7 linked regions of the Mus musculus genome follow. The protein of the gene in region 4 interacts with the protein of the main gene of each other region in a pairwise test. Links are inferred from orthologs where the notes say so. Each region holds a gene or a part of one and is shown on either strand. Other genes may lie near its edges. The genes, in order: Wdyhv1, Ppm1k, Hsp90b1, Birc2, Gcc1, Nmb and Exosc5.

Region 1 (4,168 bases), on a different chromosome or scaffold from region 4:
TTCTAGAAACTGCAGGGATCCTCTTTCCCTTGCAATCTCTTTCCATCCTTCTACTGAGAAAGCTTAACTTCACACTCACTTTGTACTAACCAAGAGAGGCTTCATGACTGCCACTCCCTGCCTCCCAGCCTCTGTTGAAGGGAGTATTCAAGCTGAAACAATAAATTGGTAACAGACACAAACACATGTTTAGTTTGTAGGATTTATGGGTTTTGGACAGCAGCTGAAGTTCACCAGAATACCACCAGCACAGCACTTTATGGGGTTGGGGTCTCAGAAGGCTGAGAGTCTGTGGGTGGCCTATAATCTAATCTTAAGAAGTCCAGCGTTTGCAGGGAGGTTCTCTGAGCACTTAAGGCACACACAGGAGACTGGGATGTCTATAGAGACAGTTCTCTATGTCTTTAATTCACTATGCATAAACACTGTTTTAGCAATTTGGTGTCTTCTCTTTTGAAAATAAATATGATTAACACAAAATGCTATCCAGACTCTTTAAATCTTTTTTTTTTTAAAAGAAAAATTCTTTTGTAGTCTAGGATCACCTTGCATTAGAAGCAATCCTCCTGCTTCAGTCTCCTGCATGCAAGGACTTTAGGTGTCTGTCACCACACCTGGTTAAAACTTTTTTTCTTTAAAATACACACACACACACGGAGAGGGAGAGAGATCCAGATGAGAAGAAATTAAATTACAATATGGTGAGATCTGGGTGCACTGCACTAACACCCCCCCCCCCCCCCCCCGTTCGCCTTTCTTTCTCAGTTCCTGCTCTAAAGGTTCAGCTTTCGTGCGTGCCCAAGCATCTCTTAGTTTAGAGTTTCTTCTGGTTTCACACAGCGGGCAACCTTAGCTGGAGTTTTAAGTGTATCCGGAAGCTCATATCTAAACACTGGCAACAACACAAGCAATCCCTCCATGGGAGGGCGACTAGGTCTACGCAGCGTAGCTCAAGAACAGGTTCGGTTTGGGGTCCGGGTGGTGGGGGGGGCGGGGCGAGAGGGAAGCCTCTAAGTGCATCCCGCTCTGCCACAGGCTCCACCCACCACGCAAAACCTGGCAAGAACTACACAGTTCAAGTCATCCTAAGATTCGCATTCCCAGCCCCCTCTCCACCAGCCTCGCCCCACCCCCACCCCCCTCAGATCCCACTCATTCTCTCAGGCCCCGCCCACCCGGAACCACGCAGGCTTCGTCATCCCGGGCTCCGCCCTCACGCTGCACGGGGCCCCGCCCACCCGGCTCTCGGCTCTCCCACCCGGAAACTGTCCTGGCCGCCTACTCTGTTGTCCTCTCCTCCTGGGAGACTGGCGACAATTGCGGCCAGCGGGTTGTTTAGTTGACCTGTGAGCCACAGCTTCGGGTCATGGAGGGGGACGGCCCCGCCGCCACGGCCCCGCAGTACCAGCCGGTCTGTCCTACGCGGGACGCATGTGTCTACAACAGCTGCTATTGGTGAGAGAGCGCGGGCGCGGACCCCGGGAATCTGCGCGGTTTCGCGCGCCGCCACCAATGCGCCCCTCTCCTGGATGCTCCCCTGAGTGCTGCTGCTGGCCTACACTGCCCGGGTTTAGCGCCGGGATGAGGAGGGTGGGGAACGCATTTCTGGTCTCCTTAGCTGAGCCTGAGCAGTGGGGTGAAGTCGGGGCGTCTTAGTGCATAGGGACAAGGGAGGGAGGGGAGTTAGGCTGGAGACCCAATGGTAACTGTTGAAGTCTGCATTGATTCAGGTTGAAGTATACGTCTTTATAATTTTAAAGACAATGGAGACACAGAATTTGTGGTAGTAGGAAATCCAGTTCAGGCAACTGGCTACCCTGATTACCTTACTGGCATTACCTTACTGGCCATATGATAATGGTTGCATTTGCACCATCCTTGCCATATGCTAGGCATTGTTTTGCGTGCATGGTGTAAATTAACTCAGTTGAACCTCACAGTAATCCCAAGAGGTAGGTACTGGTGTGATTGCAGCTTGGAAGAACTCTGAGGTACTGAAGGGTGTGCTGCTGTTTTACACAAGGCCCCGGGATTGTGAGGTTAGTGTCCTAGGCTGCTTGTGCAAACACCGTTCACCTTGCCTTTTTTGTCCCTAGGCCTCATCTTCCTTTTGTGTAGGGACTGCTATCCCAACTCAGGAGAAACCTCAGGATCATTTAAATAGACTCCTCTCAACTCTAGCTGGTCACTCAAACAAGGACTCTAAGAACTTAGCATTCAGCTGTGACTGACCAGTGACCACTTTAGCTCAAGTCCAAGTGCTTGCCCTGGTTCTCAATCTTCCAGGGCTGTGACCCTTTAATACAGATCTTCTTGTTGTGGTGACCCACAGCTGTAAAAACTTCGTTGCTATTTCACAACTAATTTTGCTACTGTTAAGAATCGTAGTGTAAATATCTGATATTCAACGCCATGACCCACAGATTGAGAACAGGGGGTGGTAGAGCGATGTCTTGGAGACAGGTTCTGTGGTAATTATTGACACTACAAAGGCTGAACTATAGAATGGTTGTGGTTTGTCCCAGACCACACAACTAAGTGGAATGAGATCTGGAGTCTACATGGTGGTTGGGAGTCCTTCTTTTTTAGCTGTTGCATTATAGATCTGCTCCGCCTGGTTTCCAAATCCTGCTAGTTTTTATCTGGAACATTTACTCTGTGTCTTCCATTTATTTAGTAAATATTTCGTAGGGATGTGAAATGTATGTTGGTTGATTCTATGCACAGAGGATAGAGCAGTAAACAAGGTAGATAAATTTCCTGGCAGTGCCAAGGACTGGCCTCAGCTGGGACCGGGTTTCTGAAAGAAGGGGTGTTTGGGAGCAGTGAAAACTACTTGAAGTCAAATTGTTGGTCCATGCTGGTGGTCTATGTTCCGCTGATGTGGCTTTCTAGACTGCTCTCTCTGTGTCTGCTTGAGACAGCTTTTTCTTGCTATTCTGAAAACTTTTTGGTTGAAACAGCTAGCTTTCTGCTCAAGACAGCTCTCTCTGCTATTAAAAGTTCTAAAAGCTCTTTGGATAGCTCATGGGTTTGCTGACCAAGTCAGAAATCCTGTTAGAAATACTCAAAAAGTAATTCTTGGGTTTTCTGATCAAAATCAGAAAGCCAGAAAAAAAATTCTAAAAGAGCTGTGTTCACTCTTCTGCCAGCTTTTTCTGTTTAGCTGCTAGGAGACATGCTAACAGAGCTGTGTCAGTAAATCTTATTAGAGAAAATTCTAAAAGAGCTAAGAAAAGATCTGAAAGAGCTGTGGTCGCCCTCCTTACATTGTCCCACCATGTTCCAAATCCTGTTAGAAAAAAATTCTTAGCCGGGCTTGGTGGCGCACGCCTTTGATCCCTGCACTTGGGAGGCAGAGGCAGGCGGATTTCTGAGTTCAAGGCCAGCCTGGTCTACAGAGTTCCAGGACAGCCAGGGCTACTGAGAGAAACCCTGGGAGGGTGTGGGGGAGGGCGGGAAGAAAGAAAGAAAAAAGAAAATTCTTGAAGAGCTGTTCTCAACCTCCAGGTTCCCCTTTGATTATCCTATGAATCCTGTGACCCCAGGCCCTTAATTCTTAGGAGACTACAAGCAGATTTTCTCCCCCTTTTTTTAGCATTGTAAAAGAATTCAGAGATCTGGCTGCTTTTGTAAATTTAGCTAGTTGGGACCTTGTCCGGAGATTACCATTCTGACCACTCCTGGACCTAAATTTGATCTGTTCCAGGCTTGAACTCAGAAATCTGTGTCATATAGAGTAGCTGCCTCTTGTCTATTTAGATCTGTGAAACTCCTTATACAATTCATATTGCATCCTTATGTTTTTGCATAGTTGAGAAATTATATATTTTCAAACTCATGTATTTAGAGCTCTTTCCCACAGCCTTAAGGGCTGTCCTGAGGGTCACAGTATTTACCATTTTGCTGAGACATTAGCCACACCTTCGTTTTCTGGACTCATGCTGTCTCAGATTCTCATGGAGTCATTGATGTTAACTGGGAGGAGGGCATTCCTCTGAGGAGTGTGAAAAAATGTCCATAATTATACAAGCAAGCATTATGCCCACACCTGCTAGCCCTGTCCTAGGGGCAGGAATCATGTCATTCTGTCCTACCAAGGCCATGCCAGATTTGGCATGTCAGGATCTCACAATTCTTATATTTCAGTGAGGGGAAAGCAGACAGC
Region 2 (3,649 bases), on a different chromosome or scaffold from region 4:
GTTTCTAATATTGCTACAAACTGAATTTATAATGCATTTTTCTGTCTCAATAAGAATACTGATATTCCTGTGTTCAAGATCAGCTATTAAGTGCATGCTTAATAGCTGTGTGTGTGTGTGTGTGTGTGTGTGTGTGCGCGCGTGCGCGCGCGCGCACACACACATACACAAACATGTGCAGATGCCCGTCAGTGTCACTACTGGTCTTTTTGTACAGATGCATATGTACATACATTTTTTTTCTGTTTTGGAATGATCAATAACTATTAACTTTAAGCTACTGAGTTTTGAACTCATTGATCTGGAAGCTCCTGGGATATTCTGTGACTTGCTAGTGAAATTTTCACCAATAGAAACCCTTCCCCTTATTTTGCAGCTCTTTCTCTGCTTCCCCCTGTGTTGCAGGTTTGTTGTGTCTGAGCACAATTTCTGGGTGAAATTCCTGTTTGCCTCTGTGCGGGTTGTTTGTGGCAGAGAACTGTGCCTGCTCAGCTGCTCTAGACCTGGAGCCTGTGGACGCTCTATGCCGGGCTTCAGTGGAAAAGAGATCTGCTTAATTTTGTCTCAGGTGAAGGAGTCCAGCAGTTCCTAGTCTGAACTACTGGAAGGGTCCCGCATCCTCTTTGTGCCATTAGTTGAGATGACTTGCAGAAGAAATTATCCAGTGAGTGTCAAAGCTCAGTGACAGAAATCTTAGTTCTATAGTTTTGTTGTTAGGGAGGCAGGAAGTGAGAGTTTTTACCTCTATGTTAAATGAAAATAAGTGTGGACTCACTGTGTACTCAGTCTTCCCCATCGCAAGCCAGAGTCGGTGCTTAGTTTTAACATTTTCCCCATATATCCTCAGATTTTGAAACTGTGTAGGTGAGTTGAGAGAGAGCTGGGAACTACAACCCAAACTGAAATTGCATTTATAAAGTGTTAGTTCTTCTGTCATCCTCAATTAAAGACCACTGTTGCTGATAGCTACCATGAAGACTAGCGGATCCTCTGGACTGGTAGCATCTAATGACTGCCTGTGTTCTCTTTCTTGCCTTTTAAAATAATTTGAAAATAAAATAGCTGATTGACCTGTTAAGATTGCATTGTGGTATAGTCTTTTAACTAATCTTAAGTTGAAAGCTATAACACTTGTAATAAAAAGCATCTCAATGTTTTAGTTAAAACACTTATGTCACACACTAACGTATCTTAGTGTTGCTGTGATAACCTTGCTTTGACCTAACGGTTCCAAAATCAAGAGATAAATGGGAACATAGTCCAACTGTAGATGCTGTGTTTCAGTAGAGCAAACGTAACATGACTACAAAAGATTGAGTATACTTTATCCATGCTTTTCCTTTTTAGTTTTTCTGATTAAAGCAGGCATTTTAATATAATTACCAAAAAAAGTATTCATCTCTTTCTAAGATGCATTATTGGTAGATTTTCTTTAAAGTTGTCTTTTTAAAAAAATGTTGGAAAGACTTGACTGTCAATGAAATCAATTAAAGTTTTCTAAAATCACCTATTAGAGTGAAAGTCATCTTTGCACGATCAGGAGACTTTCTACAAATATTACATAGAGCCACAGTCAAGTGAGTGGCTAAGGAATTTTTTAATACAAAATTTAAAAATTAGTCAAATTTAAAAATTGACAATGTTTTAAAGAGTTAACGATGTTATTAGAGATAATTCCTGCTTTGTGTAAGTTATTTCTCAATTTCTTACTTTGCTATATTGTTCTTTGGTTCATAGTTTCACAGTATTCCCACTTTCTGCAAGACTCAATGCACCTTAAATATTTTTAGTAAGTGGTGAATGATAGAGAACAGATGATGTTAGACTAAATCAAAAGAAGACACACAAATGCATTTGCTTGGTTAGAAGAAGAAAGAGTAGCCACCTCAAGGCTAGCAACACTGGGCTTTACTTGATGGCAGAGAAAATGCACATGGCTCACAGGTTCTAGTCCGGGCAAGGCGCATAAGTTGCAGCTGGTTCTGCTCATCTGCTGTTGGCTGCAGATTCTCTGATTGGATATTTTGGGGGCTAATAGTGTTAACTATACCATGTTTATAAGGAACTGAAATGAATTTCACTGTCTACTACTCACTCAGATCTATTCATCTAAGGGTGGCTATAACTTTTCTTCAGGTGTAGAGCAAAGAAATCGAAAAAGGGTATGCGACTCTAATTGGTGCAAGCTTGCACGAGTGTGTGTGTGTGTGTGTGTGTGTGTGTGTGTGTGTGTGTGTGAGAGAGAGAGAGAGAGAGACAGACAGACAGACAGACAGACAGACGGACACAGAGTTGACATGGTTCTAGAGGGAAGAATGTACACAGTAGTACTTGAAGAACAGATGGGCTGTACTTTGCCTTTCTCTCTTCACCTATTAAGTGGTAGTACTTTGACTGGATGGGAGTAAGGAATACAAGAGAAGAACCCAAATCTGATTATAGCAAAGGCGTCTCACCTAATGGGCCCAGCAGATCTGTTGTGCTGTCATAACAGCCAGACTAGCGACATTTTCATGTTTTATTTTGATGCCCATTAGGCATACTAAGACGTCATAATTCTTAGTTTTTATCAGCTCTGTTTTTTACACACAGACTACTTGGAGACACTGATGCTTTGCACACCAAATTAGTTTACCAGCCATTTTGTTTGCATGGAGCCTTGTTACAGAGTTAAGTAATCGCTTCTCTGCATGGCATTACTTACATAGTTTGCATTTCATTTGCATAGCTCTGGTTGAATTAGAATGGTTCCTCCCAGCCTTAAGTTATCATGCTTCTGTTTTATTTTGTAATGAAAACTCCATATCTGAATATTCCTATTGCTAACAGATGCTCTGTTTTATAATATTTGTAGCAAGCCTCCTGACCTCTGGGACTACTGCAACAGTAGCCCTGTTGAGAGATGGTGTTGAACTGGTGGTAGCCAGTGTTGGAGACAGCCGGGCTCTTTTGTGTAGAAAAGGAAAACCCATGAAGCTGACCACTGACCATACCCCAGAAAGAAAAGATGAGAAAGAAAGGTACTGTCATCACACCTTGTTATGGGGTGATAGCTATAGATGCCATAGAAACAGTGTTCTATTTTCTTCTCTGGTGTAAAACACCCGGGCCTCTTGAAAGCAGGCGCACAGCCACTACTGCAGTGCAGATTTTCTTGTTTTGGTTGTTTCGGGTTTGTTGAGCCTGGATCTCATGCAGCTCAGCCTGGCTTTACATCTGTACCCTGCTTCCTTGGCCTCTCACACGCTGGGATTATCAGGTTGTGTACACCATACATGGCTTAAATTTTTCATTTATATCTTATTGTGGAATTAACATGGGCTGGCCTTATACTGGAAACCCTTCTCGGCCTTCCCAAGTTCCTAGATTATGGGTATGTTTTGAAACACTAGGCTCTAAATTTCCATTTGTACAATTGGTATTTAAACCAGTGCCATAGTTTCTTGCACACTATATTGTTATTGTTATTACTATTAATACTTTTTCTTAACTAGGATCAAGAAATTCGGTGGGTTTGTAGCTTGGAATAGTTTGGGACAGCCCCATGTAAATGGCAGACTTGCAATGACAAGGAGTATCGGAGATTTGGATCTTAAAGCCAGTGGGGTAATTGCAGAACCTGAGACAACAAGGATTAAGGTAAGACAGG
Region 3 (4,193 bases), on a different chromosome or scaffold from region 4:
ATGGATGTGTTAGAGGCAGGCAAGCGTGCTGGTGGAAAATTGGTTAAAATGAGGCTAAAGAGCTTAGAAAACATTTCGGAACGTACAAGCTGGCCTTAGGGACTTCCCTCACCAGAAAGAGCCTCTTTTGCTATCTTTCGGAAGGCGGAAAGGTGTTTCTATGAAGTTACAAAGCCACAATCCAGGCTGTTTTGCAAGCTCTGCGGCTTTTGCTTTCAAGTATCTGCATAAGTTCTTTCCTGTTCTATGCTAGCCTGGACTTCACCACCGCGCTCTCTGGCTGATTCACAAAAGAGGCTCTAGATTGCCCAGTCATTCTTTGATATTTATGGGGATGTCAAAGGAACTTGGGTCCTTGTTTCCTTCGGGGTTGGAGAGCCCCTGCCACCCTCTACTGCAAACCAAACCAGAGAGGACAGGAAATGCGAGCAGCGCAACGCCAAGTGTAACTGAAGGCTCTAGGGACCCTGAGTGACGCGCAAGAAAGCGGACGTGGAAACCCGGGTGCTACCACCAGCCCAGAATCCAGGGCTGACCCTCTGACACGGTGAGACTAGGGCTACGCGGGGCTGCTTTTCAGGTCCGCCTCTGAAAACTGTGTGCATTAGAGTCCTAGAACAAGCACAGATCTATTCTGCAATCTGAATGAGGTGGAAATCCTATAATCACTCAGAGACATTTCCCGCGGACACAAGATTGGAGTAAGCAAGGGCCAAGCTACGCAACTGGCTTAGATGCCAGAGACTACAATTCCCAGCATTCATGAGATTAGTGCGTTGCATGCCGGAAACTGTAGTTTCTCACCACCATCCAAACGCATTCCGGATATTCAACCCCTCACAAATTTCTCTTTTGCGAAAAGAAACGCCCAAAAGAAAGGTGACGGCGAACGTAGCGCTGAAAGGACTCGTAACGTGACCCGCGTCGTAGACGAGAAAAGGGTAAAGGACGCATTGTCTTGGCTACCGTTTCCCCTAGTCACGGACTAAACGTTCGCTAGAAGCCGGAAGTGGTTCCCCGGGACCTCTAGGAATGGACAGACGTGCTATGCGCCTACGTTCATTGGACGGTTTTCCTCAGGGACCAAGGCTTCCCAGGCCAAAGGGTGGCCCGGTGTGTGAGGGCCCGCGGAGCCATCTGATTGGAGGAAAGCCGCTGGACAAGCCCAATCGCAAGGAGCCACGCTTCGGGCATCGGGCACCGCACCTGGACAGTTCCGATTGGCGGGCTGCGGTCCCCCCCCATGCGTCTCCATTGGGTGCAGAGAGTGCGTGGTGAGGCACGATTGGTGAGTTCGTGTTTCCCGTCCCCCGCCCGCAAGCAGTGGGGTGAAAAGCGGCCCGACCTGCGCGCGGCTTAGTGGGCGGACCGCGCTGCTGGAGGTGTGAGGAGCTTAGACTCGGGATTGGGGGGGTGGAGGCGGCTCCTGAGACCGAAAAGGACTTGCGACTCGCCGGCCACGCACCATGAGGGTCCTGTGGGTGTTGGGCCTCTGCTGTGTCCTGCTGACCTTCGGTGAGTGACCGGGCGGCAGTGGGCGCCCTCCCCTTCCTGTGTGGCCGCTTCTCGAACGTTCTTGGGGCGTTGAACCTGGGTTGGGGACGCCGGGTGGCCTACAGGGGTTTCAGGGACCATCTCGTTCCCTCGAAGGAGACTTGGGTGATGATGCTTTCCCTGAGGCCTCTGGGAAAAGGCGACTTGGAGACCGGGCATTTAAATAAATACCCTGCGGATGGTGCTAGAGCGCTCCCCGAAGTCTCGCTGACGGGGCGCGGTCTCTCGGACTCTACTCCCGGGGGAAGCCTTCCTGGAACCCCTCCCTAAGGACTTTTGTGATCAGGTCCGACCTTTGGCCACCAGAGCCTGAGGACCCCCAGCCCCTGCCCTCTACTCCCGGAGCGCGTTTCTGTTTTCTAACGCCCGACTCGCGAGCGTGGGCCCTCGGGCCAGCGTCGTGGCGGTGGCCCAATATCTGATTCCGATGTGCTTCAAGAGCTGTCCTTGACATGTCTTCCCCTTTGGGCCGGATTTCAGTTCCCCTCAACAGAAGTTGCACAAACCCTGTTTGCATTCTGACCTGTGATAACTAAGTGAGGCCCAAGTTTTGGCTTGGCCAGTGTAGAGACCTCCTCTCAGCTGTGCGCAACACGTGTGGGTGTAGACGGGGGCCTCTCTCACTGCCTAGGATAGACACACGTGATGGCTGCCTGGCCTTCCAGAGTCAACGGGGGTCTTGAGCATTCATATTTAAACTTTAGCGTGCAAACTTACCTTGACATTGGTTATTGACGTCAGTACATAATTCTTCCATCTCAACAGCTTGTATTTACTTACTGAATTGTGTTAACTCTTGCCCCCGTTGATATGGCTTTTTATGCGAAGGAGAGGAAGCAATAGTGTGGAGAGTTGTAACCTTTCTCCCCAGGGTTCGTCAGAGCTGATGATGAAGTCGACGTGGATGGCACAGTGGAAGAGGACCTGGGTAAAAGCCGAGAAGGCTCAAGGACAGATGATGAAGTTGTGCAGAGGTCGGTGCATTTGAAGCTATGTTGATAAGCTCTGCAAGTTAGTGGGGCAGAGTGGCTGTTGGTGTTTCTCCATTCAGATTACAAGGTCCAGTGCCCAAAATGTTGCTAATGATACAAAATAACCAGAGAAGATCTTAGGAGTGCCCATTTATCTGCAGGCAAAAGCTCCTAGCAGTCTGCTCCTGGGAGTGACTGCTGATTCAGGAAGGAAAGTGCTAGGGATAAGCCTCAGCATCTAAAACCAGAAAACCAGTGGTGATGTAGCCCACTCAGCTTGTGCTTCCAACTTTCTAAGACCTGACAGGACACTTGATTGGTTTTGTCTGTGTGAAGTTAGTACTATGAAAAATAGAACTTTTATGCCTTTAACTTTTAAGAAAAGGGCTTTTCAATCGGTGAGGTATATTTTCAATTTTGGCCTTCTAGGAATTAGTGACGGTACTAAAGTGTTCACTGTGCAAGCGTACACAAGTCATGACTTGCTTTTCAGTAGAGGGAAGCCAGATGTATTTTTCTGGGAATTTTAGGAACTATTTCCAGCCGAGCATTAAGCACAGCCCATTCTGTGATGAGAGTGAGCTGGTATGTGAGTGCTCTTTTAACAAGAAGGTCTGCAGAGGCCAGTCTGTGTCCTGACTAGAGACTGAGAAAAATGAAGCTGAGTATTTGCTTATCTAATTTGATTTCCTTAGAGAGGAAGAAGCTATTCAGTTGGATGGGTTAAACGCATCACAGATAAGAGAACTTAGAGAAAAATCTGAAAAGTTCGCCTTCCAAGCTGAAGTGAACAGGATGATGAAACTTATCATCAATTCTTTGTATAAAAATAAAGAGGTAAGTGTTACATGGTTGGGACAGCAGTTTGGATCCTTCCATTAGAAATTAGGAATTAAATTCGGAATGAGAATTCTTATTGGTCCATATTGGGGCAGGAAGGGAGTGGACATTGTCCTGGTCTTTCGTGTCAGCTCAGAATAAGGTCATGACCTACCGACGGATGAAGTCACACAACTGTACCCCTGAGGGAGGGTGGGAGAGGTATTCCTGTTCCCACCACTTCAGATATCCCTTGTAGTTGTCACATAGTGTTATAGAGCCACACCTCCTTTTTTATGAAGAGAGTAAAGCCATCTCTTGCACCATAAAAGGCTTGGTTCCTTGAAGAGTGTCTTCACGATTCCGAGGAGAACTGAGAGGAGTGGATAAGAACCAACATCTTACCATGCTTAGGGGTCAATCGCAACTCATTAAATCTGGCTTCTTTTTAGATTTTCCTGAGAGAACTGATTTCAAATGCTTCTGATGCTTTAGACAAGATAAGGCTCATCTCCCTAACTGATGAAAATGCACTCGCTGGAAATGAGGAGTTAACGGTCAAGATTAAGGTAAGCTTAAAATAACTTTCCTTTTTAAAACGAATCCTGGGAACCCAGGCACTCCGCAGTAGGTCATTCTGGTGTGAACAGTAACTTCCTAGTCACAGTGGGTTAGCATGGAAGTGTGCAGACTGCCTTGAGTCAAACTGACTTTGCTTGTTTTCATTAGGGTTATTAGTGAACAGCTGTACCTAGTTTTATAGTACAAATTCTTTTGTCTAGAGTGGCAGTAATTACTGATAGGGCCTTATGGCTCCTAAAGCCAAAAATAGATACTACCTAGCCCTTT
Region 4 (4,223 bases):
CAGAAATGACGGGAAAGAAAATGGGAAACGGTTCAGGGTCCCGGAATTCCCCTGGCAGCCTAATTTAGCGGTCTGTTTTACTTCTAAGTTTTTAAAATATTTGCCCATTTAACATGGAATTCCCCCGGAGAGAAGATCTGATTCATTCGTTAAGACCTTCAAGTCTAAAGTAAATTAAACTGTAGAAACCTCACTGGTAGTAGCCTACATTTCTAATCAGCACACTGGAGGCTGAGGTAGGATGCTAAATCCTCGGCTAGTCTGGGCCCTACAATAAAATCCTTTCTTAAACAAACAAATAAAAAAACTGCAAAACTAACCATAACAAATCATCCAAGCCAAACAGGGCCGCGGGGGTGGGGGTGGGGACATCAGAAAGTCCTACCCTGAATGCTAATGATTTTGCAGCACTTTCGGTACGGGAAAGGCAGCAGAGGGTGGGGGGTGGGGAGACAGACTGCTAGTGAACAATGAAGTCAGGGTTATTTTTCCAGTTTTAAACGTATTCTTCTACAATCTCATCACAGATATATAGTGCGCTTTAATCATACTCTCTCCCATTATACTGTTAACCCTTCAATGCCTTCCTCCAAACTAGTCCGCAGCCTTTTCCTTACTTTTTAAATTTATGGCCTGATGCGCTTAATTTGGGTCGCCTGCAAGAGCACTTTTTAAAAAAAATAATAATTTAAAAATGCATAACTACCTCCTCGCCCCAACTGGGTTTGAATTTCTAGGATTCGAGGTGAGCGCCACCATGCCGGCCTGCCAGAGGAGCCCACTTGTCAAAAATGTTAAAGCCCATCTTACAAAAAAACCAAATTATATTTAATGTACACGCACACGCGTGCATTCCGCTTTACTCAGGCGTTTCGAGGCCAGCTCACGAGCCTGAGCCGCCTTACCTATGACGCCACGTTTGCCTTAGTGCCTGTCTAGGACCCTTGCAGGGTGAGGCCGGAAAATACAGGGAGCTAGGAGGCGCGGCTCAGGGCTGCCGCCATTAAAGGTGCACTGCAGGTTAAAACACATGGCATCAAAGTCCGGAACGCCCAGCGGAGGCAGTGGGGCAAGGACGGACGCTCGGGAAAGCCTAGCCTTATTCGTCCGAGTCCCAGCGGCCCGAACGTTTAGCTTCCAAAGCCCGAGCACGCAGGCGCGAGCGCAGGCGCAGGCGCGCGCGACTGGCCCACAGCCCCACCCCGTCCTCCACGCGTTCCAACTTGCGGTGCGCGTCTGCTGACGTCACCTCAACGGCCCGCTGGCCGCAGGGGCTTTTGGGAAGGCTGCGGATCAACAATCAGGCGCCTCTGCTTCCAGGGCGCCGGGGGCCTGACTCGGTGGTGAGTGCGGCTGCCTTCGTCAGGACGGGCGAGCGTGGCTCTCGACGGCTGGGCGGGCTAGCTGACTCCTCCTTCGGCCCGGAAGGCAGTTCTCAGGGCCGCCCGACCCCCGCTCCCTGCCTAAGTCCTTGGGCTTGGACTTGTATAACAGTTTTGCTTTCTTTTCCTTTCGGTTTATTTTTTCAGTCAACCCAGGCTAGTCTCGAATTTGCGGCAATCCTCCTGCCTCCAATCGTTCTAGGTGCTGGGATTACTGGTGTGCAGCACCTCGGCTGTCTCTTCAGATTTTCTGCAGGTTTTTAAGCTTTAAGCCCGCGGCATTTAATGCCTTTAAACTAAGTTGTGCGGCAGGGGGATGACGGTTGTCACATCAGTTACTACTTGTCCCCAGTAGTCGTGTGAGAGGTTTGGTTTAACTGGGAAAGGTGTTCTCCATTCTTGTCTCTCCAAGCTACGTGTCGCCCCCCTGCAGTGGGCGTAGAGCCGTGTCGGTTGGGTGCTTGCTGGCGTTGTAACAGCTAGTGTAGTTAGGCCACACGGGTAGTGGTAGCTTTGTTCAGGCCACTGCTTTACCGGCACTTGTACTTTTTTGGTTTTGAGATGTTACCTGTGGTGGTTAGGGAATGGTTGTCCTTCACGGATTCCGTTTATGAGCTCTTCCCGGTGCCTTTATCTTGGCTAATTTAGCCCTGGCTAGTTCAAATGTTCTGTCCGGCAGGAGCGTTTCATTCCGCATCTGTCTTCCAAGTGTTGAGATTAAAATTGCAAGTATACCTCGGGAATCCTCAGGAAATATTTATATTTTAATATAATAGAAAATATCGTATATATTATTTATTTTATATTGTATTATAACTTAACATATGTTTATGTGTATAAATATATTTTATATGTACTTATATCTGTATTATATATTTCAATTAAATGTTTTAATAGAATATAAAAGTATATATAATTTTTTTCTTGTGATTAAACTTAGGGTTCTTTACCTGCAAGGCAAGTGCTCTAACATGGAGCTATATCAGTAGCCTTACAGACTACCTTTCCACTATTTATGGTGCCTTTTGTCTCCAGTGAAGTGCATATCAAAATATCTTTAAATCAGAAAACGAAAAGAGCCTGGTGGTAGTGTGGTCCTAGCACTTGGAAGGCTGAAGCAAGAGAATTCCAAAAAGTTTTAAAACCAGCTTGGGTTATATTGACTTTCTAGCCAGCCTAGTCTACAGAATAAGACCCTGTCCCTTAAAAAAAAAAAAAGTTCATGAAGTATAGTACATTTTTTTCTAATAGTAAATAAATAATATATAAAAGGAACAAACTTGAAAATCGGGGGCCAGTTTTTGACAAATGGAAATGTCCATTGTTTTCAAAGTTTTAATTTTTAAACTATACTGAGCTATGCATTTTAAAGACAAGCATAACTAGTACTTTGAGAATGCTTTTGCAGTGGTGTGTTTTGATTTAGACCCTTTCTAAGTAGACTGGTTGGGTGAGGAACTGCTGTAGTCAAGATTTGTTATCTAGAGTGTGTCATTTTTAGACATTACTGAATAAATTGATGATGACAATTCTGTGTAATTAGTTTTCTAAAATATTTTTTTTTCTTTCAGATTGATAGTCCTCAAGAGTCTTCATGTTCTCTTATGTTTTTCTAGAAATCAGCCCACTCATGGACATCTGAACATTTCTATAAGACGCTGCGGTTTGCTTTGCAGTGTGTTCTTGTGTATGATTAGTTATATAAAATACGAAGTTTTCAAAAAGAAGGCTAGTGCAACAGAAAAGCTTTGCTAAAACAGATTCTTAGTTATTTGAGGTAACAAAAGAAAGCCATGTCTTGAATTGATTCGTTCTTAATTATAACAGACTTATAGTGGAAAGGGCCTTAAACACAGGCGGACTTTATAAAATGCAGTCTTAGGTTTATGTGCAAAATACTGTCTGTTGACCAGATGTATTCACATGATATATACAGAGTCAAGGTGGTGATATAGAAGATTTAACAGTGAGGGAGTTAACAGTCTGTGCTTTAAGCGCAGTTCCTTTACAGTGAATACTGTAGTCTTAATAGACCTGAGCTGACTGCTGCAGTTGATGTAACCCACTTTAGAGAATACTGTATGACATCTTCTCTAAGGAAAACCAGCTGCAGACTTCACTCAGTTCCTTTCATTTCATAGGAAAAGGAGTAGTTCAGATGTCATGTTTAAGTCCTTATAAGGGAAAAGAGCCTGAATATATGCCCTAGTACCTAGGCTTCATAACTAGTAATAAGAAGTTAGTTATGGGTAAATAGATCTCAGGTTACCCAGAAGAGTTCATGTGACCCCCAAAGAGTCCTAACTAGTGTCTTGGCAAGTGAGACAGATTTGTCCTGTGAGGGTGTCAATTCACCAGTCCAAGCAGAAGACAATGAATCTATCCAGTCAGGTGTCTGTGGTGGAGATCTAGTGTCAAGTGGTGAGAAACTTCATCTGGAAGTTTAAGCGGTCAGAAATACTATTACTACTCATGGACAAAACTGTCTCCCAGAGACTCGGCCAAGGTACCTTACACCAAAAACTTAAACGTATAATGGAGAAGAGCACAATCTTGTCAAATTGGACAAAGGAGAGCGAAGAAAAAATGAAGTTTGACTTTTCGTGTGAACTCTACCGAATGTCTACATATTCAGCTTTTCCCAGGGGAGTTCCTGTCTCAGAGAGGAGTCTGGCTCGTGCTGGCTTTTATTATACAGGTGTGAATGACAAAGTCAAGTGCTTCTGCTGTGGCCTGATGTTGGATAACTGGAAACAAGGGGACAGTCCTGTTGAAAAGCACAGACAGTTCTATCCCAGCTGCAGCTTTGTACAGACTCTGCTTTCAGCCAGTCTGCAGTCT
Region 5 (4,376 bases), on a different chromosome or scaffold from region 4:
GCCTTTTCCCCGTCAGCAGCCTCGGAGTTGGCCATTATCTCAGGGTCGCAGAGCTTCTCCACATCCAGGGTCACCTGGCTTTTCCTAGCTGCAACCTGTAGTAGCTTCTTGAGCTTCTCCATCTTGTCCTTCAAGACATTGATATCCAGACTGGATTCGTCGCCATGGATGTCAAGGGAGGACCGGCTAGAGGCTGCGAGGGCCAGTGTCTTGTTCTCCAGGTCCAGCTGCAGAAGTCGCTCCTTCAGCTTCTGGATGGCCAGCTGGTCTTTCTGCTTGGCTTTCTCGTAGGTGCCCAGCAGTTCAGATACCTCAGAGATCTGGCTCTCCAGGGCTGCTACTCTCTGCTCTTCTACCTGAGACTGCTGGCGGAGCTGGTCCTCTGCAAGGGCTGTCTGCAAAGCAAAGAACAGGTGACAAGGCATCCAGGAAAGTCACAAAACCCCTAGAGTCAACTGGGTGTGGGGGAGGAGACAGAGAAGTGAACAGGGCTTGGAATAACCCAGAACAAGTGGGAACTGGGGATTTTTAACTGAAGTGCCCTTTCTACCATAGTTTTCCATTCTTCATTAAGCTTGAATACAAAGTATGTTTCTGTTAGCCAAATCATTTAAAGAAACCGTGTAACATTCTTTCCCTTTCCCAACATGCCTGTAAATTCAAACCCAACCTAGATCCCTCTCTCTACTGAAAGGGAACACTATAAAACAGTTGAGGCAAACCTCACCTGAGCGTATACACAAGGCATTTCTTCTGGGGAAAATCCCCTTTGCTTCCTCCAGTCACCTTACCTAGAAGCACACACTTCTCAGGATACACACAAGCTTTCCCTACACAGCTGTCACTGTATCACCTCAAGCAGCACAGCTGGTAAGATGCCAACACCCAAGGCCTAGATAGAGCTATCTGGCTTGAACCCAGAAATACTCAGGAACTCTTCATCCTGTTAGAAGGACACCACACAAAGCCACACTTCACGGGACTCACTGATGCAATTTTTTCACTTGGCATCAAATATCACTATGCATGTTGGGAATGTGGAACCAGACCAAAGTCCCAGTACTCACACTAACAACTCACGCTATCTCACCAGGCATCCCTTGACTAAAACAAGACCCTGCCTTAAGTGGGGAGAGGGGTGCCCTTAATCCTAGCACTTGGTATGGAAAAGCAGGCAAATCCCTGTGAGTTCAAGGGCAGACTGGGTTACATGGTAAGACCCTGCCTCATGAAAACACACACAGAGAAACAAACACACACACACACACACACACACACACACATAGGGATGCATTACAGTTATCTAATGACCAGAAGAGAAAAATAATAATTTCCTATGTAAGCTAAAATGACTATTTGAAGGATATGAGAATAATTACCTTCCTCATTTCTTGCTGCAATTGGGCCTGGAAATGGCTTTTAAGACGGGCAGCCTCTTGCTGAAGCTCCTGCAGCCGGGGGTCTGGTCGGTTCTTCTCATCTCGAATGGTTTGCAGCTCACCTTTCAGCTCCTCTACCTCTCGGGTCAGCTGCTTGGTCTGCAGTTCAAACCCTTCGACCTGATCAGCGGCATATGCCCGCCCTGCCAAGGCTTCTCTGGTCTCTTCTAAGCGAAGTTCCAGGTCCTGGCGCTGGGTCCTCTCCTCCTGCAAGAGCTTCTGAAGCTCGCGCAGCATCAAGGCATGGTCACTCTGCTCCTGGGCACGATCGTGCTGCTGTGTAATGAGGCGGGCTTTGGTTTCTGCTATCTGCTCTTGCAGCACCTTCAAGTCTCCCTCCAGGCGACCCCGCTCTTCCTCTGCCTTTTTATTGGCATCCTCTAAGTCCTGCTTCATCTTCTTCTTATCCGCCAGGTAAGACGCCTCCATACGGGACTTTTCCTGAGTGACTGTCGCCAAGGAGCTAGTCAAAGTGGCCAACTGAGTCTTCAGCTGATGCACTCTTTTGTCCATCTCACTACCGGCAGATGGCCCATCCCCACTGCTACTACTAACGCCACTCTCTGACCCACTGGCCTCTTCAGACTTTGGGGGAAGTGGTCCACGGGCCGCTCTGTCATCTTCAACCCCAAATTCACCCTTGACACTTGTAAGACTGGCTGCGGTATCCAAGCTAGTGGCAGTTCCGGTGCTGTCCTCACTGTGAGTGGAGCACCGGTCATCCACAGAATCAGGAAACGTGAGACCTGGAGGCTGCACACCTGAGAGGCCTACATCCGCCTCGTGGGATACCGACAGTACCTTGATGCTGGCCTCCAGGGCTTCTTTCTCCTTCAGCAGGCTTTTATAGGCACGCACCACATCCTTGAGTCTTGCCTGGTACTGGAGAAGCTGCTTTTTCTGTGTCTCGATGGTCTCCAAGAGATCCTTCTTACTTGGGCCGCCCCCGAAATTCATCCCAAACTTCTCCATGGGGGTTCTGGCGTGGACCGCTCCACGTCAACGTTCTTGCAGCCCTGGGCAGAGCCACAGGGACAGCTAAAAGTGAAGCAGAGAGAACCGTCTGGCTGCAGGCAATACACCCGGTCCGTCCAGCGGTCCGGGCGGGATGAGGGGCCGCGGTGGCCAGGCAAAAGCACTGCAGGAGCCAGGCCGAAGGTGGGAGCCAGTTCCAACCTGGAGGCGGAGTGACGCTGACCTAGCAGGAGCAGTCAGCCTAGGCTCTCCAGTACAGGCCCTGAGCCTGTCCCGCCCTAGCCGCTCCTGTGGCCACCGCAACCTAGACCCGCCTCCCTCCGCCCACGATAAGCCCAGGGTTTACACTAAGCCGGGTTCCATCACGATTTCCCAACAACTGGAACAGCACCGCTTCCGGGTCTCCTGGAAGTGACGGCAGCAAAACGCCACAGACCCCGCCCCGCCGTGGGCGTGAGATGGGTGGGGCTTCCGCACCGTGTCTGCTGGTGGCCTGGAGAGGGAGTAACCCGTAGGTAAGTCTAGAGCAAGCACCTGAGCAGTGGTTTGGAGATGCCTAACTTTGCCCTCAAGCTACCACCAGTGAGCGACAGGGGGCGACGTCGCACTGCATTTGCCCCAAAAACATAGATGAAAGACGCATCAAACTATTTGGGGCAATGTCCAACATTTGGGGCAACAGTTAGGACTCATACTAGGAAAACGAGGCCGGTACCTGGTTAACGTAAAGCATAATAGCTCCCTCCCTTAGTTCTGATTAGTAAAAGGGGCATTATATAGCCATAAGGCCCATCTTGCATACCAGCATATGCTGGGGTCAGGGCTGTGTCACAAGAGTTACACTTACGGGAACATAGAGTAAAATGTACAGAGGGGTAACATGTCCAATGTCACTCAGCTAGGAAGTTTAGGAGTCCTATCTCAGTCTGCCTCTCAACATACTACATGCTATGCCAGATAGCACTACTGAAGAAGCATGGCCTTGTCCCAAGAAACTCCTAACAGCAAGGACACAGAGATTCAAACAGGTAGCTCCTGCCTTCACACTAGTGTGTCGGGGCATTGCAGAAGTGGTATAAAGGAGATGAGGCACCTGCCAGGACAGAGACTCTTAGGGGAAATGATTTGAAGTTTGAGAGATGAGTAGACTGCCAAGCTCAATGCAGATGTGGGAAACCAGCATGGAGGAAAGTGGAAAGGTGTATAGGGACGTCAGGCATCAGTGAGCCTAACTTGCCCAGGAAGCTTATGGTGTGGGAGAAGGGTGGCTACTGATGAGGCTGGAACAAAGGACCCAACTTAAAGGCATTTAGATTTTACCTTAGGTGACAAGACATGAAAAGATTTTCATCTCAAGAGCACACCATCAAGTCTCCTTTTTCTTTTCCATCAAGACTCTTGTGGGGACTGTAAGACGACTCAGCAGTAAAGGCACTTTCCACCCAGGCCCAATGATCTGACCTGAGTTCTATCACCAGGGCCCACACGGTGGAAAGAGAGAACATATTCCCACAGGTTGTCCTCTGAGAGCTACACCTCCACACATGAACACGAAATAAAAGTGGGGAGGGAGCCAGGCGTGGTGGCGCACGCCTTTAATCCCAGCACTTGGGAGGCAGAGGCAGGTGGATTTCTGAGTTCGAGGCGAGCCGGGTCTACAAAGTGAATTCCAGGACAACCAGGGCTATACAGAGAAACCCTGTCTCGAAAAAAAAAAAAAAAAAAGGGTGGGGAGGAGCTAGAAACAAAATAAGATTCCTGTGACATTATGAAGATACCAAGCCTGTGAGAGGGGTGCGGGGAGGGAAAGAGATGAAATAAGAGTGACAACGGGTTTTAAGAAAATATTTCTGTAATAAAAATCTACTCAAGATGCCAAGGCAGCCGTCACATCTCCGTGAGTTCGAGACTAGGCTGGTCTACATAGCAAGTTCCAGACCACCCAAGGCTACATAGTGGACA
Region 6 (4,306 bases), on a different chromosome or scaffold from region 4:
TTCCCAGCACCAAACGCAAAGCCAGGGGTGTGGGCCAGCACCTAAAATCCCAGCGCTAGGCAGGTGGAGAGAGGAGGGTCCCTAGGCTTGCTGCCCAGCCAGGTTTGAGTCAATGAGCTCCAGTTTCAGCAAGAGACCCCGCCTCAAAAAGTAAGGTGTAGGCTGGGGAGATGACGAAGTGGATAAAAGCACTTGCAGCCACAAGGCTGAGCTAAGTTCAGATTGGTAGAACCCACATGACAAACTGTATGTACTGACACATACATGCAATCAGTGTTCCTGTGGTGAGATGAGAGAGATGGATGGGAGAATAACCCAGAATCTGTGGGCCTGCTAAACTGGACTATATGACAGACAGCAGAAAGAAGGACACCCTGTCTCAAACAAAGCAGAAGGTAAGAACTGACCCAGTAAAGACAGCAAACCAAGTAGAGTGGCTCACATCTATAATCTGGTACTTAGGAACCTGAGACAGGAGGCTTGCTATAAGTTCAACTCAATCTGTTCTATGTAGGAGTTCCAGGACAGAGAGCTACATAGCTCATGTCCCAAACAAAATAAAAAGATTATGCTAGGCAGCACAAATGATGCAGTAAAGGGTCCAAGACCTAATACTCTATTCCATCAGTCACTCCTTGACTTAGTTTCTAATGAGTAAGTGAACTCTTGTGAACAGGAAATTGGTGTCCCCTCCTGCCCCTCCCACAATGCTGGGTCGGAGCACATATCTGCCCCTGATCATTCAGGGATGCCACTGATGACTGAAGATACTTTCCAAGACCAATAAGAACAGCTCTGGAAGGCAGAGTTCTGCTTCTCCACAAGTAGTATGGTTATTTCCGTTTTACACTAGAGAAGTCATCTGGCCCAGCAATCTTTCCACTGATCTGACCTACAGTATGATAAGCCAGGCCCTTTAAAGGGTACCACTACTAGGAGGCAGCTCCTCACTCCCTTCCCCATAATTCTGTCCCCGTTCTGGGCACAGAACTTGTCCAGGTTATCCAGTGTGTGCCATTTGTGAGCACAAAGCAGGGCAAACAAGGCTCAGATGGTTTGAGACAGGAGGTGACAGGATTCTTGAGTTCCTCTGCGGGATGATGCCAAACACATAGACTGCCAAAAGCAGGGCTTCTTGTTCTGCTTTAGCTTTAAGGAGAAGCTTTGAGGGCTGAAGTAACAACTTGATGGAAACACAGAAAGCTGTGTTGGTGGCCTTGGGAACCACCTTTGCTGGGGACGATGCCATAAGCACGCGAGTGTGGTGGGTTTCTAGGAGAAACCGGGATGCAAGGCTGTGTGGGCGGAGCCTGCGGGGCGGGGCTCTGGGGCGGAGCGAGCTCCGCTCCTCAGGCAGGCTCCGCTCCCGACTGTAGTTTAAAAGGCTGGAAGGCGGGCTTCGAGAACTAGTATCCTGAGAGTGCCAGAGAAGAGCCTGTTTGGCACAGCCATGACCCGGCAAGCAGGGAGCTCTTGGCTCCTCCGTGGTCTCCTGCTCTTCGCATTGTTCGCTTCCGGCGTCGCTCCCTTCAACTGGGATCTCCCGGAGCCCCGCAGCCGAGCAAGCAAGATTCGAGTGCACCCTCGGGGCAACCTCTGGGCGACCGGTAAGTGTTAGGGGACCCCCTATAAGCATGCCTCATTCTCCTTGGTCCTCAGTTTCCTTTTCAACACTTTGGAGGCTCTTGGTAGCGGAGCTCCTGCAGTCGCGGGGGGCTCATCAAGTTTAACAGATGGGAATCTTGAGACCCTAGACATGGCTAAGATAACCCACTCAGAAAGTTTAAGACAGAGATTAGATCCGGTTACCAGTCGGTTAGGCAGACTGACAAGTCTTCTCACCTCATGTCTTCTCTGCATCCATTTAGAGGCACCTTCTCCACTTCCTTCCCTGGCAGGTAGTCTCCCTGGTCCTGGGCTATCTACCCGTCTTCTATCCTCCAGCGGGTCAGGAAAAGCTCAGGATGTCAGCTTTGCCTCCACCCAGAGATCTGTGGCTTCTGAGGATAATGTTTCTTGTCTTCCCTCTGTGAGAGCCGAAAGGTCGACTAGACCAGAGCTTGCTGTGGTGATGGGGTCCTCATCTTGAGCTCCCATGTACCTTGGCACCTCCTTTCTTAGGTCACTTCATGGGCAAGAAGAGCCTGGAACCCCCGAGCCTGTCACTGGTGGGGACAGCACCCCCTAACACCCCGAGGGACCAGAGACTACAGCTGAGTCATGATCTGCTCAGGATCCTCCTGCGAAAGAAAGCTCTAGGCATGAACTTCAGTGGCCCAGCTCCCCCAATCCAGGTAAGCCCCCTCCCCAGTACCAGCATGGAAGAATTGCTGCCCAGCATGTCTTCAGGGTGGGACTGCCTAGCCAGACGGTAATGGATTCCAGAAAGCCAAGGTCCCAGGGCTCAAAGGGGGAATATCCCAAAGACTGGAAAATGACGCAGCAGCCAGACTACATGGGGGAAAAAGTTCCTCCTTGCCCATCCCCAGTCTGACGTCGCAGACTAGGAGTATTCTAGCTCTTAAATAGAGTGTTCTCCAGGCCACACAGCCTTGTCCACCCCAGCTGTCATTAGCCAAGCCCACCTTTGCCATGCCAGGCTGTGCTTGTGTCCCAAGCTGTGATCCCTACGGCCTTGAGGTGGAAGGGAAGTGACCAGTGGTGACACCTCAGAACCAGCCTGCTTTCCAGTCTCCCATCCACTTCCCAATGCCAGTGTTCCTGACAGTAAAGGCTCTGCAGGGCTGTCCTTTGCATTTGAGATGCTTAGCACATCCCTGGTCTCTACCCGCCAGAGGCCAGTAGCACATTCCCTTCTCACCAAGTTGTGATAACCAAGATTCCCTGCAGACCAAGAACAATGCACTTGCCTGCAGTCCCAAATGCCTCATAGGTTGAGGCAGGAGGATGGTTTGAGATCAGGAGTTTGGGAAAAACAAAAACCAAAGCCTTCGGACATGAGTGTCGGTGTCCCCCTGGTGGAAGTGGGCTTGACTCACTGCTGGTTGTAAAGCATTGACCTGTGGTGCTCAAGGCCTTGTGGTGCTGCCAGGTGGTGTGGCAGCTCCTCCGTTCTTGGCTCCTGCTGGTGTCCCCTGGTACTCATTGCTGTGTGCAGAAGGCAGTGGGATGGGTAGGATGCATGCTGGGGCCACACCTAGCTAACTAGCTAGGGGAACCTTAGAAATGTGTCTTCATCAAATAGAAACAACAGGCCCACCTCCCAGTAGATGAGATCATTTGTATCACGTGCAGTCCAGTTCTGGGCAACCAGAAAGCTCTTGGAAGCAGGAGTTCCTACCACATGTCTGCAAGCCTCTGGCAGGACTTTGCTATGACGCCCTTCCTACCCCTACTATGCTTAGCACAGTGTGAACATGCTCAGAGAAGAGACATTCCTTAGAAGCAGGTCTACCTCCAGTCCCAGCAAACATCCCTGGAACCCCTGATGCAAAAGCGAGAAGCTTGGGCTAGCTGAGTCCAGAGAGAAAGAGAGAGAGAGAGAGAGAGAGAGAGAGAGAGAGAGAGAGAGAGAGAGAGAGAGAGAGAGCGCATCACCTCTAGGGACATTATTTGGAAGACCTGAAATACCACGACCAACCAGAGAATCTCATAGAAAGCAATACTGCCATGGCCAGTGGCAGGGAGTGAGGTCTGCAGCAGAGCATGGGGGGTAGGGCATGTTGCTGACACTTCTCCAATGCCTTGGGCTTGGTTTCTGTGATGTCCTTTAGTTGTCATGACTACCCTGTGAAGTTGGGGCTATATTCTGGGAAAACCAATCCCCCTGACTCCTCAGGTCTTCCAGGGAGAAAGGTTCTCACTGAGAGGCTCAGCTGAGAGCCTGCAGCTGCCCTCCTGGGTACACTCAGCATTTCCCTGATTTGTGGACTCCAGAGTCAAGTCTTCCCTTCTTGCCTTCAGTACAGGAGGCTGCTGGAGCCACTACTGCAGAAGTGATGCCAATAATGGAACAAACCGGATGCTGGGCTTAGAATGTGTCCATCCAGGGAAGCTGACAATGGAACCCTAGCAGTGGCCTCCTCTGGATGTAAATCCTAAGCTCAAATGTGTTAATCTGTTACTGTGATTTCTGGTTGGGTCACCAGGAATGTTAATGATGCAGACACAAAGTCTTTCCTGCTGTATTTCTTGCTTCCCTGGTGAAGTGGTGAATAAAAATACTGCTCTTTACACAGAATGTCTGGGCCTCTCCTTCCACCCACATTTGAGGAAAGAGGGAAGGGTTCTGGAGGGTGGCATGTTCAGAGAGCTAGGGTGGTCTTAGAAAAGCCCCATCACCCCC
Region 7 (4,379 bases), on a different chromosome or scaffold from region 4:
GTTCTACAGAATCCAACATCTTCATGCAGACCAAACAACAATGCACGTGAAATAAAAATAAGTAAACCATTTTTAAAAATCTTTTTTTTTTTTTTTTGAGATAGGGTCTCACGTAACTCAACCTGGCCTCAAATGCCTCCTCTCCTACTTCCCAAGCGCTGAAATTACAGACATGTGTCGCCATATCCAGATAAACAAACACACAGGGCTAGGAGCCAAACTCTGGACGTGGCGCGTGCTAGGCAAGCATTCTACACTGTGGTGGTACATTGCCAGACCGCAACAGATTTTGGAAGTGTTATCCTGCCCTTATCAACAATGGATCAAAAGGGAATTCCGAGTTTTCTCCAGTGTTTTCAAGAAAAGTGGGCAGCCAAGCACCGTAGCTTACATCTGTAATGCCAGTACTTGGGAGGCTGGGACAGGACTATCTCCAGTTCGATGCCTGTCTAAGCATCTGGGTGAGCTAAAGGCCATTCCGGACTCGTGGGTGAGATCCTGTCTCAAAAAAATAACGTGGGCAAAGGGTCCTGTTTGAACTTGTAGCTCTCTTTGTCTCCCTTCATAATCATCTTGTGTAAAGGACAGTCATGGCAAAGTCCCTTGCCTTGCCTTTTGATCAGGTGGCATAGGAATCAAACCAGTTTCTTGCTCAACTCCCTTTACAGTTGGAATTTAAGCAATGTAGGACCCTATGAAAACCTGATCTGTCCTTTCAACCCCCGTCTCGTCTCCTTCTATCGAGGCCCACAAGTAGCTGCCTTGCTTTTCCTCTAAAGGGATTCTTCCCTTGAATTTCTCTTCAAGAAGTTTCTCGGACCTTTTCTTTCTTTCCTTCACAGCCCGCGGTGTCTCACACAATGTAAGAATAACTTTTACGTCTCTATTTCTCCCTAAGAAAGACCCCGTGGGGCTCAGATACTCACAGATCTAGCCAAGCCCCGAACCCCAGATCGTCCCAACAGGAGAAGAGCAGCCTGGCGCAGGCCACGGCTCGGCCTCCAGATCTTGGCCGCAGACATCACTATCGCCATCTTGGCTAATAACCACTCCTCCTTTCTCACAGGATAGACATACGGCTGTCCCACCAGATGCCTTATTCAAATAGCAGCACCGCTAGGCCAACACGCTATCTGCTTCTAACCACCTTGCGACAAAGACGCATAAATGAGTAAGGTGGCAATTTTTAGTCTCTAAAATTGCTCCGGTCGTCTGCTTCTAGTTGCTCCTAATTCAGGCAACTAAAAGGACAACTTAACTTGAACCTTCAGGGTTCAGGACCCGGAGCCCTGAGCAAAATGGGCCCTCTCCAAGTCCCTCCCCCTGTTCCCTGTTGTCCAATGGCTATGCCAGAATTGGGAGGTGGAGGTGGGCGGGACCAGATTGTTAGTAAACGCTGAGCCACGTGCTAGGGCCAACTCGGGCGTGCCCTAGACGGGCGCATGCGCAATAGGTACGCGGCCGGTAGAACTGCGCGCGCCGCTAAGCGGAAGCTACGGTGGGAGCCGCAGCGCGCGTGGTCAGCGGCTATGGAGGGCGCAAAGCGTGCAGACGCCAATTTACTCACTGACACCGGAACAGAGTCCAGCCCCCGAAGTCCAGTCTGCAGTCTCCGGCACTTTGCTTGTGAGCAAAACCTGCTGTCCCGGCCGGATGGATCTGCTTCTTTTCTTCAAGGTACGAGCCTCACCAAGTTTAACTCAGCGCGCGCCATCCTCACCGAAGAAGGGTTTTTGAAGAGCGGTTACTGTGTAGTATGTAACCAAGTACGCCCGCCTCCTTGAACTTATTTCTAGATGTTGAGTATACCCACCTCCCGTCTCGAGAAGAAATGAGTTGGCCAGCCTGGTAAATCCCTCTCAGAGGAGATCGAGAGCAAGACCACTCTCATAAGAGTGACTATCCCAGAATAGGTATTTCACCAAGGCAGATATTACCCTTCTCTAGATTTCTTTCTTTCTTTTATCTTTCTTTCAAGACTTATTTTATTTATATAAGAGCACTGTAGCTGTCTTCAGACACACCAGAAGAGGGCATCAGATCCCGTTACAGATGGCTGTGAGCCACCATGTGGTTGCTGGGAATTCAACTCAGGACCTTTGGAAGAGCAGTCAGTGCTCATAACCACTGAGCCATCTCTCCAGCTCCCCTTGACTAGATTTCTTGGGTTTTTGTTGTTGTTGTTGTTGTTGTTGTTTTCACTTTGTTGTTGAACTCACTTTGTAGACCAGGCTGGCCTTGAACTCAGAAATCCGCCTGCTTCTGCCTCCCGAGTGCTGGGATTAAAGGCGTGCGCCACCACGCCTGGCTTTGACTAGATTTCTTAAAAAACACTTCTAGATCCATACATCACCGGTTGAGGCTAAGGTGTTTATTTGCATAAATACCCTTTGAGACAGACACATCACCACCACTGGTTTAAATATAATTACTGTGGCAGATGATACATCTAAGTAAGTGCTCTTCAAATTAAATGTGATCTTCCCATCCTGGGCTGAGAAGCATCTCCCCTTCCCCGGTCCCATCATTTAAGAAAACGTGCCTTTCCTTGGTATACACATTTCATCAGACTAAATGAATAGGGAGAAAAGAGAAGTCTTGTGGCTGAGACCCACACAACCCTATATCCCAGTCGGGCCAGCCAACTTTGAGAGGTCATGAGAGGGTGAGAAACTACCAGAGTAGACAGATGAGAGGGCAGAGACAGAGTTGACAATGGTGAGTTTGTTTGAGATGTTAAAGGCTGATCACCTTATGGCTAATAAGCTAGAGGTCATTGCTTATAGTGGTGGGTCAGAAAGAGCGAGAAAAAAAACAGTTGAGACAAGTCTCCAGGCATTTTCCTGCGAAGGAATCAGATAGATGGGGCAAGAGCTGACGACTGATAGAGCTTAAGAAAGGAGAAAACTGGCAGGTCAGTGGTGGCACACACCGTTAGTCCCAGCACTTGAGACACAGATGCAGGGTCTCTATGAGTTTGAGGCCAGCCTGGTCTATAGAGGGAGTTCCAGGACAGCCAGGAAACCCTGTCTTGGGGAAAAAAAAAAAGGGGAGACAGCTCGGGGCTGGAGAAATGGTTTCTCTTACAGAGAACAAAGTTGAGTTCCCAGCACCCATTCAGGCAGCTTTCAAGCACTTGTAACTTGTGGGGAGCCAGGATATTGGAAGCCCTGTTATGGCCTCTGCAGGGAACTATACACACACACACACACACACACACACACACACACACACATAACTTAAAAAGTAAAATAAATACTAGGGGGAAAAGAAGAGAATTTCTGCAGCCACATCATCGAGATGGTGGGAAGAAAGAGACTCCCTTGCTCGCTGAGAGCACAGTCTATCTAGCAGTACAGGAATGTAGCTCTAGTAAGCACCTGAGTCTATTGGGTTACCTCTGGTTTCATTGGAGAAGCACCCACAGATGTTTAGTGTTCTCATCCCAGGCTGGCTCTCAGCTTAGCTCATTGCTGAAATCAGCCTCCCCTATCTCTTGGGATATAAGAAATAGAGAGGGAACCTTCCCATGTTCTAAAACCCTAAACTCACAGGGCCCTAGTGCAAGCTGGAGACTTGGCAGACTTTCAAAAAGAATGTTGCAGACACTTCTGACCTCAAAGGCTCCTGTAAGAACACCCGATGGAGGGGGCTGTGGCTGCGGCAGGCAAGCAGTGCAAATGATGTGTATGTATGATAATGACACAATATCCCTATTACTTGACATTTGTCCTCACTAGGAGTCTCTTGCTGTGACAAGGACATAACCAGAATCAACGTGGCAGAACCTGGCTTTTCATGGCTTGTTCAGCCTGCTTTCATAGATAACCTAGGACCACCTGCCCAGTGGTGGCGCTGCCCACAGTGAGTGGGGGCCCTTCTATATCAGTTGTTGATCACTAAAATGCCCTACAGGATCATGCAGCAAGACCCTGTCTCAAGAAAAAGAAAATGCCCCCACAGACCTGCCTGCAGGCCAGTCTGATGGAGGCAATTCCTCATTTGAGTTTCCTCTTTCCAGGTATGGCTAAGTTGACAAAATGCAAAGCAAAAGAAGCAACTAGCCGGCACAGTAGCTTACCTTAAAGGCAAAAACAAACAAACAAACCAAAAACACCTGATGGTACAAAACCCCTAATCCCAGTACGGGGGGAGGGAGGGCTGGTAGAGGCCAGAGGAACAACAGTTCGTGCCCTGCTCCCTTAGCTACATAGATAGCATGGTCAGGGCCAGCTTTGACCATATAGAACCTGATTTCAGAAAGTACATCGATGAAAACCTACAGAGCCGGGGAAGCTGCCTGTGTAGGCTTGCCATCTTGGTTTTGCCATCTTGTTTTTTTTTTTGTTTTGTTTTGTTTTTGCTTTGGACTTTGCATA

What was found.
Region 1: the proteins of Birc2 (region 4) and Wdyhv1 interact in binary tests that used the Homo sapiens proteins (3 or more experiments, as listed by UniProt). The two-hybrid records come from large-scale screens. The link is inferred for Mus musculus from reciprocal best matches to the Homo sapiens genes BIRC2 and NTAQ1.
Region 2: the proteins of Birc2 (region 4) and Ppm1k interact in binary tests that used the Homo sapiens proteins (3 or more experiments, as listed by UniProt). The two-hybrid records come from large-scale screens. The link is inferred for Mus musculus from reciprocal best matches to the Homo sapiens genes BIRC2 and PPM1K.
Region 3: the proteins of Birc2 (region 4) and Hsp90b1 come close enough for resonance energy transfer, tested with the Homo sapiens proteins (2 studies listed by BioGRID). The link is inferred for Mus musculus from reciprocal best matches to the Homo sapiens genes BIRC2 and HSP90B1.
Region 5: the proteins of Birc2 (region 4) and Gcc1 interact in binary tests that used the Homo sapiens proteins (3 or more experiments, as listed by UniProt). The two-hybrid records come from large-scale screens. The link is inferred for Mus musculus from reciprocal best matches to the Homo sapiens genes BIRC2 and GCC1.
Region 6: the proteins of Birc2 (region 4) and Nmb interact in binary tests that used the Homo sapiens proteins (3 or more experiments, as listed by UniProt). The two-hybrid records come from large-scale screens. The link is inferred for Mus musculus from reciprocal best matches to the Homo sapiens genes BIRC2 and NMB.
Region 7: the proteins of Birc2 (region 4) and Exosc5 interact in binary tests that used the Homo sapiens proteins (3 or more experiments, as listed by UniProt). The two-hybrid records come from large-scale screens. The link is inferred for Mus musculus from reciprocal best matches to the Homo sapiens genes BIRC2 and EXOSC5.

What each region holds. Positions count from the first base shown.
Region 1 is NC_000081.6:58,140,127-58,144,294, forward strand, and holds the start of Wdyhv1 (protein N-terminal glutamine amidohydrolase), read left to right. Parts: upstream 1-1,239; 5' UTR 1,240-1,366; coding exon 1,367-1,455; intron 1,456-3,081; exon of another isoform or gene 3,082-3,143; intron 3,144-4,168. UniProt on the Homo sapiens protein: Mediates the side-chain deamidation of N-terminal glutamine residues to glutamate, an important step in N-end rule pathway of protein degradation.
Region 2 is NC_000072.6:57,514,964-57,518,612, reverse strand, and holds part of Ppm1k (protein phosphatase 1K, mitochondrial precursor), read left to right. Parts: intron 1-376; exon of another isoform or gene 377-664; intron 665-2,592; exon of another isoform or gene 2,593-2,854; coding exon 2,855-3,020; intron 3,021-3,494; coding exon 3,495-3,639; intron 3,640-3,649. UniProt on the Homo sapiens protein: Serine/threonine-protein phosphatase component of macronutrients metabolism.
Region 3 is NC_000076.6:86,702,629-86,706,821, reverse strand, and holds the start of Hsp90b1 (endoplasmin precursor), read left to right. Parts: upstream 1-1,377; 5' UTR 1,378-1,466; coding exon 1,467-1,515; intron 1,516-2,425; coding exon 2,426-2,528; intron 2,529-3,220; coding exon 3,221-3,362; intron 3,363-3,796; coding exon 3,797-3,913; intron 3,914-4,193.
Region 4 is NC_000075.6:7,834,110-7,838,332, reverse strand, and holds the start of Birc2 (baculoviral IAP repeat-containing protein 2), read left to right. Parts: upstream 1-1,275; 5' UTR 1,276-1,343; exon of another isoform or gene 1,344-2,107; intron 2,108-2,288; exon of another isoform or gene 2,289-2,953; 5' UTR 2,954-3,854; coding exon 3,855-4,223. UniProt on the Homo sapiens protein: Multi-functional protein which regulates not only caspases and apoptosis, but also modulates inflammatory signaling and immunity, mitogenic kinase signaling, and cell proliferation, as well as cell invasion and metastasis.
Region 5 is NC_000072.6:28,418,906-28,423,281, forward strand, and holds the start of Gcc1 (GRIP and coiled-coil domain-containing protein 1), read right to left. Parts: upstream 2,820-4,376; 5' UTR 2,412-2,819; coding exon 1,380-2,411; intron 396-1,379; coding exon 1-395. UniProt on the Homo sapiens protein: Probably involved in maintaining Golgi structure.
Region 6 is NC_000073.6:80,902,122-80,906,427, reverse strand, and holds Nmb (neuromedin-B isoform 2 preproprotein), read left to right. Parts: upstream 1-1,365; 5' UTR 1,366-1,450; coding exon 1,451-1,607; intron 1,608-2,121; coding exon 2,122-2,294; intron 2,295-3,924; coding exon 3,925-3,960; coding exon of another isoform or gene 3,961-3,995; 3' UTR 3,996-4,201; downstream 4,202-4,306. UniProt on the Homo sapiens protein: Stimulates smooth muscle contraction. Induces sighing by acting directly on the pre-Botzinger complex, a cluster of several thousand neurons in the ventrolateral medulla responsible for inspiration during respiratory activity.
Region 7 is NC_000073.6:25,657,707-25,662,085, forward strand, and holds the start of Exosc5 (exosome complex component RRP46), read left to right. Parts: upstream 1-1,446; 5' UTR 1,447-1,529; coding exon 1,530-1,677; intron 1,678-4,379. Other genes in the region: Bckdha (2-oxoisovalerate dehydrogenase subunit alpha, mitochondrial), read right to left, coding at 927-1,034. UniProt on the Homo sapiens protein: Non-catalytic component of the RNA exosome complex which has 3'->5' exoribonuclease activity and participates in a multitude of cellular RNA processing and degradation events.